Linked DNA regions of Oryzias latipes. The protein of the gene in region 3 interacts with the protein of the main gene of each other region in a pairwise test. Links are inferred from orthologs where the notes say so. Each region holds a gene or a part of one and is shown on either strand. Other genes may lie near its edges. The genes, in order: map2k2, gfer and cops5.

Region 1 (4,157 bases), on a different chromosome or scaffold from region 3:
CACGTGTGAGTCTGTTCAGGACGATGAAACTGTAACATAAAGAAATGTATTCTAACAGCTGTTATTGACGTGTTGAATTAATAAAATCTGTTCTTAAAAAACATCTTCGCCTCTTTTCTGGAACTGTGTGACCTGAGTCTCAACTTCTGCTCTGGGAGGAGCTGCCCACCTTCAGGAGGCATTTGCTCCTACTCCAGTGGTTCCTTCTCTTTTTTTCTGTGTCTCCTCCATCCTAAAGAAGCGTCAGCTGTGGTCTATCAGGTTCAGACTGAACTGCTCTAGGTTTGCTTCACTAAACGGGTGGTTTTGGTTGCAGCGCTGACTGTTCATCCTCTAATTTATCTCGGATGAAACGCCGCCGTCTTCTGAAAACCTGCTGAGACGTTTGCATGATGGCACCAAACTTCAGCAGAGATCTGCTCTTTGGAGATGTGTGCAGCTGAGTCTCTATGAAAAACACGTTTGATGAATCTTCTGAAGTTTACGTTTGAAAAGTCAAAGTCTCCAGAACTGCAGGGTTGATGGGCTGAAGCCGAAAGGCAAACCGGTCAATTAGCTGAAATTACATTTACACAATAGATGATTTTCTGCATTAAGATGCCAGCACCCCTTTATAGAAGTGTTTCTATAGCACAATTAAAAATAAAGTACCAGAAATGCTTATTCGTTATCAAAATGAAGCTGCAAAAAGAAAAAGCAATCCACCAAACTTCTTTTTCTTCTTCACTGCTCATTCTGTCACTTAATTCAAAGGATAAAGAAAATATTATTTGACATTTCATTTTCAAAAGGTTCTCTGGTAAATGTGTAGCAAAATATTTGCAGGGTGGATGTTAAAATGAAAATGCAATCCCCCCTTTGCTTATTTGTTTAAATAATGACACAGAATAAGTGGTTTTTATGTTGAAAATGAAAAAGCATTTTGAAGTATTGATTTTTCATTTTATTTTTGAGTCATTAGATGTAGTTACCTTTTGAAAATTAAAAAGCATATCTGTAAATCCATTTTAATTGTCAAATTAGACATTTCTAAATGAATTTTGCTACACATTCGGTCAATATCATTTGAATTGAGTAAGAACATGCAGTGTTGAAGAAGAAAATGAAAAAGAATTTTGGTGGATTGCTTTTGAGTCAAAAAATGCAGCTTCATTTTGAAAATGAAAAAGCATTTCTGGTTTTGACGATTATTTTTGATTATGCTACACAAATGCTTCCATATATTCTGTGACATTCTTTGCATGACTGCACTTCTCTCTTTGGCCGCGGGATGGCGGTGTTTCCCAAGAAGCCTGTTTGTCTGCGGACATAAACGCGCAGAAAAGCTGCAGTTTGGTGTCCGACCAAACCCCTCCTCAGCGCCGCGCGAGCCTTAGAAAAACCTTTATGTCCCTGCACCCGCACTTCGACTTCCACTGGGATTCTGGTAATCTGTCACTCAGCGGGTTCGCCGCTGTACCACAGCCCCATCGCCGTAGGCAGCTGCTGCTTCCTGTATTGAGGCACCGGGGTCAGGAGCGGAGCCACGCGCGTTCAGCAGTCGTTCCTCGCGGACTGAAACCAGGACGAACTACAGTTTGGAGGCTGTGGTGAAGTGGGCGCCGCCTTTTCGAACCTCGGCCGCAGGTGACTCTTGGACGCGGGGGGAGCTGCTGCTGCGTGTCGGGACTCGGACGTTTGTTGAGGGACTGGCGCGACCTGCTAGCAGCTAATGGCTAGCAGCAGATAGATATCTAGAAAATCCAGATCCTCCGCGGTTCTCAGGAGAACGGTTCTCCTGATGGTCGCTTTCTCTGAGCTACACTGACATGCCCCCCCCCTAACGGAAGTGAAAGCTAACGTTAGCCAGGAAACTTATTAGCCGCTCACGAGCGCCGAACAAGGAAGAGGTGCCGCGCGGCCGCACTGACTGTTCGCTGCCGGAAGGAACCGTGCGGGAACGATTCCCTGAAATGGCCCCCAAAAGGAGACCCGTTCCCCTGAACATCACACCCATCGGGGAGGGACAGACCACGTCCAACACCATCGATGCTGCGTCCGAGTGAGTCCCGGGGGGGGTTAACAATTTACATTTTTATGCAGATCATGCAGTACCCTGAATCTGCAGGGGGCACTCTTTTGCACAGATCTATCATCTGTAGGGGGGTGTAAACTGTCTCTATCTGTACTTTGACCCCCCCCCCCCCACACACACACACACACCCTTCCCCAGAGCCAACCTAGAGGCCTTACAGAAGAAGCTGGGAGAGCTGGACCTGGATGAACAGCAGAGGAAGCGTCTGGAGGCCTTCCTCACCCAGAAGGCTCAGGTGGGAGAGCTGAAGGACGAAGACTTCGAACCCATCTGTGAGCTGGGGGCAGGAAACGGGGGCGTGGTCAACAAGGTCCGCCACAAGCCCTCGGGTCTCGTCATGGCCCGCAAGGTGAGGACCTCATCTGACGGTTTGGTGAAGAAGGCAATTCTGGAATCTGAAGCCTGACTTTCTCCCAAAGCCCGCCCAATTTTTTCTGCACTGCAAAGTTACCAGCAGCTGCTGCAGACGGGACACAACAAGTCTGCTGCAGCTGCTGCAGGCGGGACTTGACTTGTCTGTGGCTGTCGCAGATGAATGTAACTGATCTGTAGTGGCAGATAAAACACGACCGCTGCAGACGGGCCACGACTCGGTCTGCGCCTGCTGCAGACGGGACACGACTTGGTCTCTTGCTGCTGCAGATGGGACAGGACTTGGTCTCTGGCTGCTGCAGACGGGACACAACAAGTCTGCTGCAGCTGCTGCAGGCGGGACTTGACTTGTCTGTGGCTGTCGCAGATGAATGTAACTGATCTGTAGTGGCAGATAAAACACGACCGCTGCAGACGGGCCACGACTCGGTCTGCGCCTGCTGCAGACGGGACACGACTTGGTCTCTGGCTGCTGCAGACGGGACACGACTTGGTCTCTGGCTGCTGCAGATGGGACATGACTTGGTCTCTTGCTGCTGCAGACAGGACACAACAAGTCTGCTTCAGCTGCTGCAGGCGGGACTTGACTTGTCTGTGGCTGTCGCAGATGAATGCAACTGATCTGTAGTGGCAGATAAAACACGACCGCTGCAGACGGGACAGGACTCAGTCTGCGCCTGCTGCAGACGGGACAGGACTCGGTCTGCGCCTGCTGCAGACGGGACAGGACTCGGTCTGCGCCTGCTGCAGACGGGACAGGACTCGGTCTCTGGCTGACACTCACGAGATCCTCAGACTGGTTAGACGTTCTTCCTCAGGCTGTTCAAGGCCTCCAAGTTCCATCAGAAGACTTAGTTTCCTGTAGTTGTTAGTGGAGGGGCGGTGGGTCGTGTTGCTGAATCTGCTGCCCCCACAGTGATGCACGCCCCCTCAGAAACCATCCAGACGTTCCACTGAGGTACTGCAAGTGTCTATGGTCCTGCAGACAACTCCCACACTGTTCCACCTCTTCCCTCCTTTAGCTAATCCACCTGGAAATCAAACCTGCCATCAGGAACCAGATCATCAGGGAGCTGCAGGTGCTCCACGAATGCAACTCCCCCTACATCGTGGGCTTCTACGGGGCTTTCTACAGCGATGGAGAGATCAGCATCTGCATGGAGCACATGGTGAGACTCTGAGCCTCCAGGATCCCTGAAGACGTCCTGCTGGTTGAGGTTCTCATCCACGTCTTCTGTCTCCACAGGATGGTGGATCCTTGGATCAGGTCCTAAAGGAAGCCCGGAGAATCCCTGAGGAGATTCTTGGAAAAGTCAGCATAGCGGTAAGAGCCTGTGGCTGGGGGGGGGGGTCTGTTCCTCTGGAATGGGTTTGTTCTGCTGCTGGATCTTCTCTGCTGTGTCGTTGGCAGGTGTTGAGGGGGCTGGCTTACCTGCGGGAGAAGCACCAGATCATGCACAGAGGTAACCACGCCTCCAACACCGACAAACATCATGTCTGCTCTTCTGTCCTCATACGCTCGTTGGCTCCTCCTAATATGACGGTAGAACCATTATCATGATGCAACCGGAGCACCACCGCGTGAACAGAACCAACGGTCCAAATGTCAGATCACACCTTTGAATCTGGGAGGAAAACAGCGGCCAGACGTTTGAGATGGAGGCTCCTCTTAGGAGGAACCTCCCTGCTGGTGTGAAGGAACAGTCGCTGC
Region 2 (2,920 bases), on a different chromosome or scaffold from region 3:
ACACGGTGGTGCAGTGGTTGGCACTCTCGAATCAGTGAAAGGCCCGCGTTTGAATCCCAGCTCGTACCTTTCTGTACGGAGTTTGCATAATCTCCCCGTGTATGAGTGGGTTTTCTCTTTGAGCAGCTCTTCTACACCGCACGAAAACAACAAGAAGCAGCTTGTGTTAAATGCTGAATTCTCAGTCAGCCTTGCAGTTTTTGTTGTTATGAGACATGTACTACTTAGTCTTTGCTTGGGATGGGTACCGAGTCGAAACTCTGTGACACATTGCTGCCAGTACCGTATAAAAACGCGGATTGTGGTGCCTTGTAAGTGGGCTCCAGACGAGAACAAGGGAGACGTAAATTATATTGTGATGTATTTTGTATTGGGAGAGGTGTATTGTGCATCGTAACGCCAGACTCTTGCTAATATAATATACACCCCTACTAGACATATGTATACACGTCAATGGCAAACTGAGTAACTTTAGTAAATACATACCCATTTTATCATATTTATAACTTACATGAGACTAAAAAGGTGAGTAATAATGTAACAATCCCTTTTCTAGTCATTAATAGCACTTGGAATTTTTTTTTCTTTAAAGGCAGTTTGTTTACTCATTTTATATGAAGATTATTCCTTTATTGTGTGACATTGATATTTAAATGTAACACATATAGTGTAAGATTATAACTACAAGTATTTTTTGCTTCTAAAACCAAACTTATTTCTCTCTAGTTTTCAAGACTGAGCATTGAAGTTCCTCAAAAGCAGCAGATTGTTGTAGCAACTTGCCAGTACACCCCAGAAAGAGCCTCAAAAATGCGCAGCTGGCTCAGTTTTCTAATGTAGCTACGTGACAACTCTTTTTTTACCTTTGTTTTTCTGTGTCCGAGAAATTTCTTTCTCGATTTCTGCAATTTTTTCCAGAATACCCATGTTGTTGTTCAGGTCGGCTGCGGTTTCTCTGTCAAAACAGAAGAAATAAATGACAACAAAAACGTGTCGCCACTTCTGGTTAGCTGTGTTAGCAAACCAAACTAAAATAAACAGAAGTTGAAAAAAATTATATGACAAAATCTACAGACATTTGAAGGCTTGTATGAGCATTTTTAAAAGGCACAAACAGTGGTAAATATTAACCTATAAACGATAAGGGGAAAAAAGGTACTAACAGAGGAGAGACTGCTGCACGCAAGTAAAACCGGCCGACCGGAAAACGGTCCTGCGCTCTAAAAAGTCCGGAAGAAACAAAAGATCTTGCGAAACTTTCACACCTACGTAGCTACCTTAGTCGACACCGTCTGTTCAATGACAGAAATGTCACCAAATTACAATTAGTCTTTGTGTTGACCTAATTCAAAATTCTGGCAACTATATATTCCAGATAAGTATAAAAACAGCGGTCCGGTGAGGATTGGAAGTTAGGTAATTATTCACGGAGCGAAGATGGCTGCGCCACCTGACAGCCGTCAACCTTCAGTTCCCAACCTTAAAGAGCAGGAGCAGAGCCGGGATGGGAAAAAGAAGCCATGTAGAACCTGTACGGACTTTAAATCGTGGATGAAGCAGCAGAAACAGCAGTCCGTGGCTTTACATCATGTGAGTCAAAATTGCTAAAACTTTATTGATAAAACAAATAGTCCATTGGGCTGACCCAGTTGTTCGTTGTTTTCAAAATGGTGTTACTGTGTAATACTTTAGGCGAATCCTGTATGTATCTGTGTCCTGCAGGAAAGCCAGGCTGCAGAAGTGGAGCACCAAGACCCACAGTGTCCCCTGGACAGGGAAGAGTTGGGGCGAAACTCTTGGTCCTTGTTGCACACGATGGCGGCATATTACCCTGATCAACCATCATCGACTCAACAGCAGGAAATGAAACAGTTCATCAACCTCTTCTCCCATTTTTATCCCTGTGAAGATTGTGCAGAAGACCTCAGAAATAGGTAGATACCTTAAATGTTTATCCCAATTATTTTTAGTTGAATACTCAATAAATTTACAATATCTTCTCTGCAGATTGAAAACCAATCAGCCGGAGACCAGCAACCGCAGCACACTCTCCCAGTGGCTCTGTCATCTTCACAACGACGTGAACGCACGTCTGGGAAAGCCAGAGTTTGACTGCTCGCGCGTGGATGAGCGATGGAAGGATGGCTGGAAAGATGGCTCCTGCGACTGAATGAGCTGAAGGATTCAGGGATGCAGCTGCTATGAAGGAAAAAAAACAACTCCGGACCGCAAACCTCCTCAGTAGCTTTTGTGTTTGTGAATCATGTGACTATTTGCTTTGTGTTTAGATGGCATAATTATTGTTGCTTTCAAATAAAAGCCTGGACAAAAAGAATGGAGTCCTTTTTTGATTAAAAACCCATCCATCTGATGTAGCCAGAATTATCTTTTAAGGAAATCCAGTTTGTAGATTGACTTAATTTGTGATCAGTGGTAAAAAAGAGGTTGGGCCAAAATAACACAGTATTCTAAATGTAACATTTACTTCTTATGAAAATTATTTTGTTTGTTCTCCTAAACATGTACTTATCTAAATGAAATCAGGCTGCCATTGAAGTGCAGACTTAACATAAAAATGTGAAAAACTAAAGCATTTTTAAAACAATACCTTCATTTCATGGGCTCGTAAGTAATTGACTTCCATGCTATTGCATGGGCAGGTGTGGGCAATTCCCTTGTCATGTCATTATGAGTGAAGCAGATAAAAGGCCTGGAGTTGATTGGAGGACTCGTGCTTGCATTTTAGATTATGCTGTGAACAGACAACATGTGGTCAAAGGAGCTCTCAATGCAGGTGAAATGAGCCATCATTAAGCTGAGAAAACAGAAAAAAAACCATGTCATAAATTGCTACAGTATCAGGAGTGGCAAAATCAACAGTGTGGTACATCCTGAGAAAGAAAGAAAGCACTGGTGAACT
Region 3 (4,285 bases):
TGTACGCACACTTATCACACAAAAGCCAGATAACAGAGTGTTCCATAGAAAGAACTTGTTACAGACTAGCCACAAATCGAACCATCTCTGAGCTGTCCCGAAGGAAAAGAAGTCATGGAGAAGTTTGCTTAAGGTGAGGCTGTGTTTATAGTAGAGCAGGTAATTAAAACACAATGCCATGGGGGGGGCCTGACTAGGGTGACAGTGTAGCAACTGACAAAGCCCGTCACCTACTGAGCAGCTCCTTCTTGACATCTAGTCAATACATCTTCATCCAGAATGCCAGCGAGTGAACTGTTTAGATAAGCCTGGTGTCTATTTAACCCAGCTCAGGACCACAATGCAAATTCATGTGACGGCCTTTCAGTCTTTAGAAAAAACTGTGCTCGAGGGGCGGGGGGCTTCTGGATGAGTGGAGTCAAGTCCAACTTTAATACCCATCATCTTCTTCTGCTCCAAAGTTCACAAAGACCTTATTACTAAAAACAATAAACAAGCAGGGCCAGCTAAAAAGCAGCAATAAATCAACACATCACAACATGTTGACTCCATGTCTGAATGAGTTATAGAGTAATAATTAACCATAAATCAAAATGTCAAACAATTAGTGAACATTTTGAGTTTTGAGGTGGCTTACATACCGTAAGAAGGCTGGAGGAACTTAAGGTATTGACCCAATATTTGTTCCAAAGGAGTTCCAGGAGCTTTCGATCCAGAGAAGACTTGAAGTAAGTCACCTCCAAGGCGTAATATCTGAATAGAGACAATCATAAAGAGTTGAAAAAAAAGATAATTCAGGAGCATGTTAAATATATGCATCTTTGATACATAAAGTTTTGATAAATAAAGTTTGATTGATTGATTTATTAAGAGTGGTTTAGTGCTTTAAATTTACTCACTGTTTACAATGAACACCAAAGTCTTCTATCTTGTTCAGCGGGATTGTTTGATATTCTGATGGTCCTTCATCTGGAGGTTTGTAACCCTGAAAATCCACAAGGAAAATGTTAAAAAATAATACAAAATAAAAAAAAAGAATTAGCACATTTGTTTAATCATTAACAAGTAAACAAATTAAGACATTCTGATGTATATTTATGACAAATATTTATTCAGATCCCTCCTAAAAAAACTAACATCAACGATTCGAACTTAAAATTTAATTTATGACTTCAATAAGTCATAACACCATGTTTCTCTTGGTCTTTGCTGTACCTTTGGGTATGTTCTGAAGGCACCTAGATTGACTTTCCCTGCAGAAATAGTCCGAGTGGGGTCGATCTGTAGGACACAAGATACAGTAAAACAGGAAAACAAAGTCAAAGGTCGGAATCCTCCAGAGACCACTGGAATCAGTTCACTAGGAGCCTTTTTCCCGCAGCTGTCAGTGTGAAAAAAACACACACTTAATTATACGACGCCCCTGGCGTCGAAGCCCTGCTGAACTAAAGGACGTGTAAATAGCATATGGGGTTGCAAAAGGAAAATAGTCAGTAGTGCAATGCCAAAACATGCAGTGAATGCATTAATAGATTTTCATTTACGTTCTTGTAATGTTTTTTTTTTAAAGACGAAACAGGAACTTTCCTCCTCATTTTTTAAAAATTCCACTAGCAGGAAATTACATTAAAATAACGTTATAAAAGTTTATACGTACAACAACAGCAACAAAAGGCTCCTGAAACTGCTGGTTGAGCATCTGAGTGCTCACGTCGATCCCTGACAGCCAGCATCCGTAACCCGGGTGACTGTGGTACCAGCCAATGGCATTCTCCAAACGGCCAACCTGGGGGGTTAAAAAGATAAATATAACAAAATTATTCATAATTATTTATAATACAATATTATAAAGTGTTTATTGTTTAATACAATGAAAAGGTTTTACTAAATCTGACGTGGCTTGCTTAGTTTCTAAAAAATACGGAAACTATTTATGAAAGGAAATAGACAGACTTCAATAGGTCAGTCGGGGATAGAAGTTATTTTTAAGCTTTTAAAAACAAAAAAATGAATATTATAAATGCTCTGCTATCCCCAAAGATAACTGGAAACAGCGGGACAGCAACTCAAGAAAATCCAGGCTGGACTTATTCCGGCTACCTGTAGCCCACCAAAAAAAAAAAAAGAAGAACAGTCATAACGACAATAGAAACTAAATAAAAGATTAGAACACTTCAATAGACATATTGACATACTGAACACAGAACCTATGACTAATAAATCTTAATAAGAGACAGTTTTTCAACAATTCCACCAGGAACTGTGTAATCTGTCAAGAAGAAGTAATTGCTGCTGTGTCATTTCAGTGTTGGTGTATGTTTTTACAATAAAATAACATGATCCCACCTGTTTGGCGTTTTCAATGTAGGCAGCCATGTATTCGTATGCTGCAGCCTGCGCGTTCACCCTGGTTTCTGTTCCCTCCACAGGCAAAGCGAAGCTGTCCATGATGATCATGGTCTCCCCGTCCACCTTCCCCAGCATGAGACCCATCACCTCCAGGTTCCCCCCTGACCTGGCATGCATCACCATCTTCAGCAGGGCCAACGCGGAGATTTTGCAGTACTTGAAGTAGTGGTGACTAATGATTTGAGAAAAAGAAAACACAATTAGTTTACGCGACACAACAAATAGGAATGAAGTCAATCAGGTTGAAAGTACTCTTTTGTCCACGGCTTCGCCGCGAGGATTTCTTGTTGTTGTTTTTTGTCGTATTTGTAAATTTCATCGATGCTCTGGACTTCCTGCATGCTGTTCGACAGCTCCCACGTTTTCTGAGCTGTACTACTTCCAGCCATGATAAAGTGTCAATTCAAAATACGAAGAATAAGCGTTTCGAACGTCAGTGACAACAACACAAACAAAGAAATTGTGTATATCCGTCTAAAGTAACAGGGCCAGACGTTCTCTTGCAACGGCAGCCATGACAGGGAACGATACCAAAACAATGACGTCGAAAGATTGAACCTTTCTTTGTTGATTTGGAAAAATACAAAAGTCGAAGTTTCGTATCTTTATGTATTAAAATGGATCATTAATAATATATTGAAAAAATCAATACAATTTATGTAAGAGTTAAAAGTTCTGCTAAATGTACCCATCAATTCTGGTACTGTCACCCCTCTGATAATGGTTTAGTCCAAAAGAGACGTCAGCAGACACTTGAGGATGCACTGGCATCTAGCGGTGAGACTTGTAAAAAGCAGACAGGTTTGAGAATATTTTTTATCCTGTTTTTAGAACTTTGTTTTTTATTTAATGCATTGTATATCTAATAAAGACCCTAATGGGAGATAACAGTTATTAATGCTGCAAAAAAAAAAACTTCTCGAAAAAACACATTAGCGAACGTCATTGGTCAAGAGTAAAGGTAAAACATCAATGTTACTTCGTGTTTGTCATCTTATAAAGCTTAGAAAGCACGTTTAGGATTTTCAAAGATATTTTTATTGAAATGCGATTAAGTTTGTATGATTACCACATAAACTTTAGATATACGGAGTTTTTTGTGGTTTCGTGTTTGCTAACTTCTTTAGCCTGTGCCAACCTTTGTGTCACGGTTGCCCATAGCAACGCTTGCTGCGTTGCCATTTTAGTGCGGCGAAAACATTCAGAATAGTCATAAAAATGTCTAATTAATTAAGTATGTATCCTTTAGAGTTAGAGTTTCATCTAAGGTTTCATTTTTATAGCTTTGTTCACTGCCAGGTTGTGCTGTTTGAGTTTATAATGGAAAACACCTAACTTTCAATTTGCATGCACCTGTATGCTGAGAAAGTTCTTGAATCTGACCTTGGACAACTAACTTTCTGTATGAATGTTTTTCATCATTTGCAGGTGATGTGCATTTTGTAAAACTCTAGCATCCACAAAATATGGAACCATATAGCTTATCATAAACAAGATGAAGTATTTGTGGTAGTTTTAATTTTCAATCAGTCCAATTATACTGGCTATTTATTTGCTATGTTTTTCTCTCTCTCTAGGTTTTAACTGAGGCTTAGTATCAGAGCGTGAAATGGAGGAACAGAAACCTCTTCTGGATCTGCGGCTGGACTTCAAATATCATGCAGCCAAGGTCAGATATCATACGATTATTATAGGATCATTTAAAGAGAATTTTTGTTGACTGTGTTACCTCTGATTCTCCATTCTGCCAACTTATTTTTCTATTTTTTATTCTTACATGTACCTTTTAAGGAACACGATTTAAAAACCTGTGAACCTCATCCACAACACCAAGGGCTTTCCTTACCTATTGATGATAGAGCATCCATAAAGGTGT

What was found.
Region 1: the proteins of cops5 (region 3) and map2k2 interact in a two-hybrid assay, tested with the Homo sapiens proteins (2 studies listed by BioGRID and IntAct). The link is inferred for Oryzias latipes from reciprocal best matches to the Homo sapiens genes COPS5 and MAP2K2.
Region 2: the proteins of cops5 (region 3) and gfer interact in a two-hybrid assay, tested with the Homo sapiens proteins (2 studies listed by BioGRID). The link is inferred for Oryzias latipes from reciprocal best matches to the Homo sapiens genes COPS5 and GFER.

Annotation. Positions count from the first base shown.
Region 1 is NC_019862.2:7,813,780-7,817,936, reverse strand, and holds the start of map2k2 (dual specificity mitogen-activated protein kinase kinase 2), read left to right. Parts: upstream 1-1,288; 5' UTR 1,289-1,952; coding exon 1,953-2,041; intron 2,042-2,212; coding exon 2,213-2,423; intron 2,424-3,468; coding exon 3,469-3,615; intron 3,616-3,692; coding exon 3,693-3,770; intron 3,771-3,857; coding exon 3,858-3,909; intron 3,910-4,157. UniProt on the Homo sapiens protein: Catalyzes the concomitant phosphorylation of a threonine and a tyrosine residue in a Thr-Glu-Tyr sequence located in MAP kinases. Activates the ERK1 and ERK2 MAP kinases.
Region 2 is NC_019866.2:17,934,907-17,937,826, reverse strand, and holds gfer (FAD-linked sulfhydryl oxidase ALR), read left to right. Parts: upstream 1-1,250; 5' UTR 1,251-1,437; coding exon 1,438-1,590; exon of another isoform or gene 1,591-1,593; intron 1,594-1,722; coding exon 1,723-1,934; intron 1,935-2,007; coding exon 2,008-2,170; 3' UTR 2,171-2,335; downstream 2,336-2,920. Other genes in the region: drg2 (developmentally-regulated GTP-binding protein 2), read right to left, coding at 864-927.
Region 3 is NC_019878.2:17,008,902-17,013,186, reverse strand, and holds the start of cops5 (COP9 signalosome complex subunit 5), read right to left. Parts: upstream 2,948-4,285; 5' UTR 2,799-2,947; coding exon 2,662-2,798; intron 2,582-2,661; coding exon 2,347-2,581; intron 1,787-2,346; coding exon 1,658-1,786; intron 1,282-1,657; coding exon 1,216-1,281; intron 986-1,215; coding exon 900-985; intron 754-899; coding exon 642-753; intron 1-641. Other genes in the region: cspp1 (centrosome and spindle pole-associated protein 1), read left to right, coding at 4,019-4,078, 4,201-4,281. UniProt on the Homo sapiens protein: Probable protease subunit of the COP9 signalosome complex (CSN), a complex involved in various cellular and developmental processes.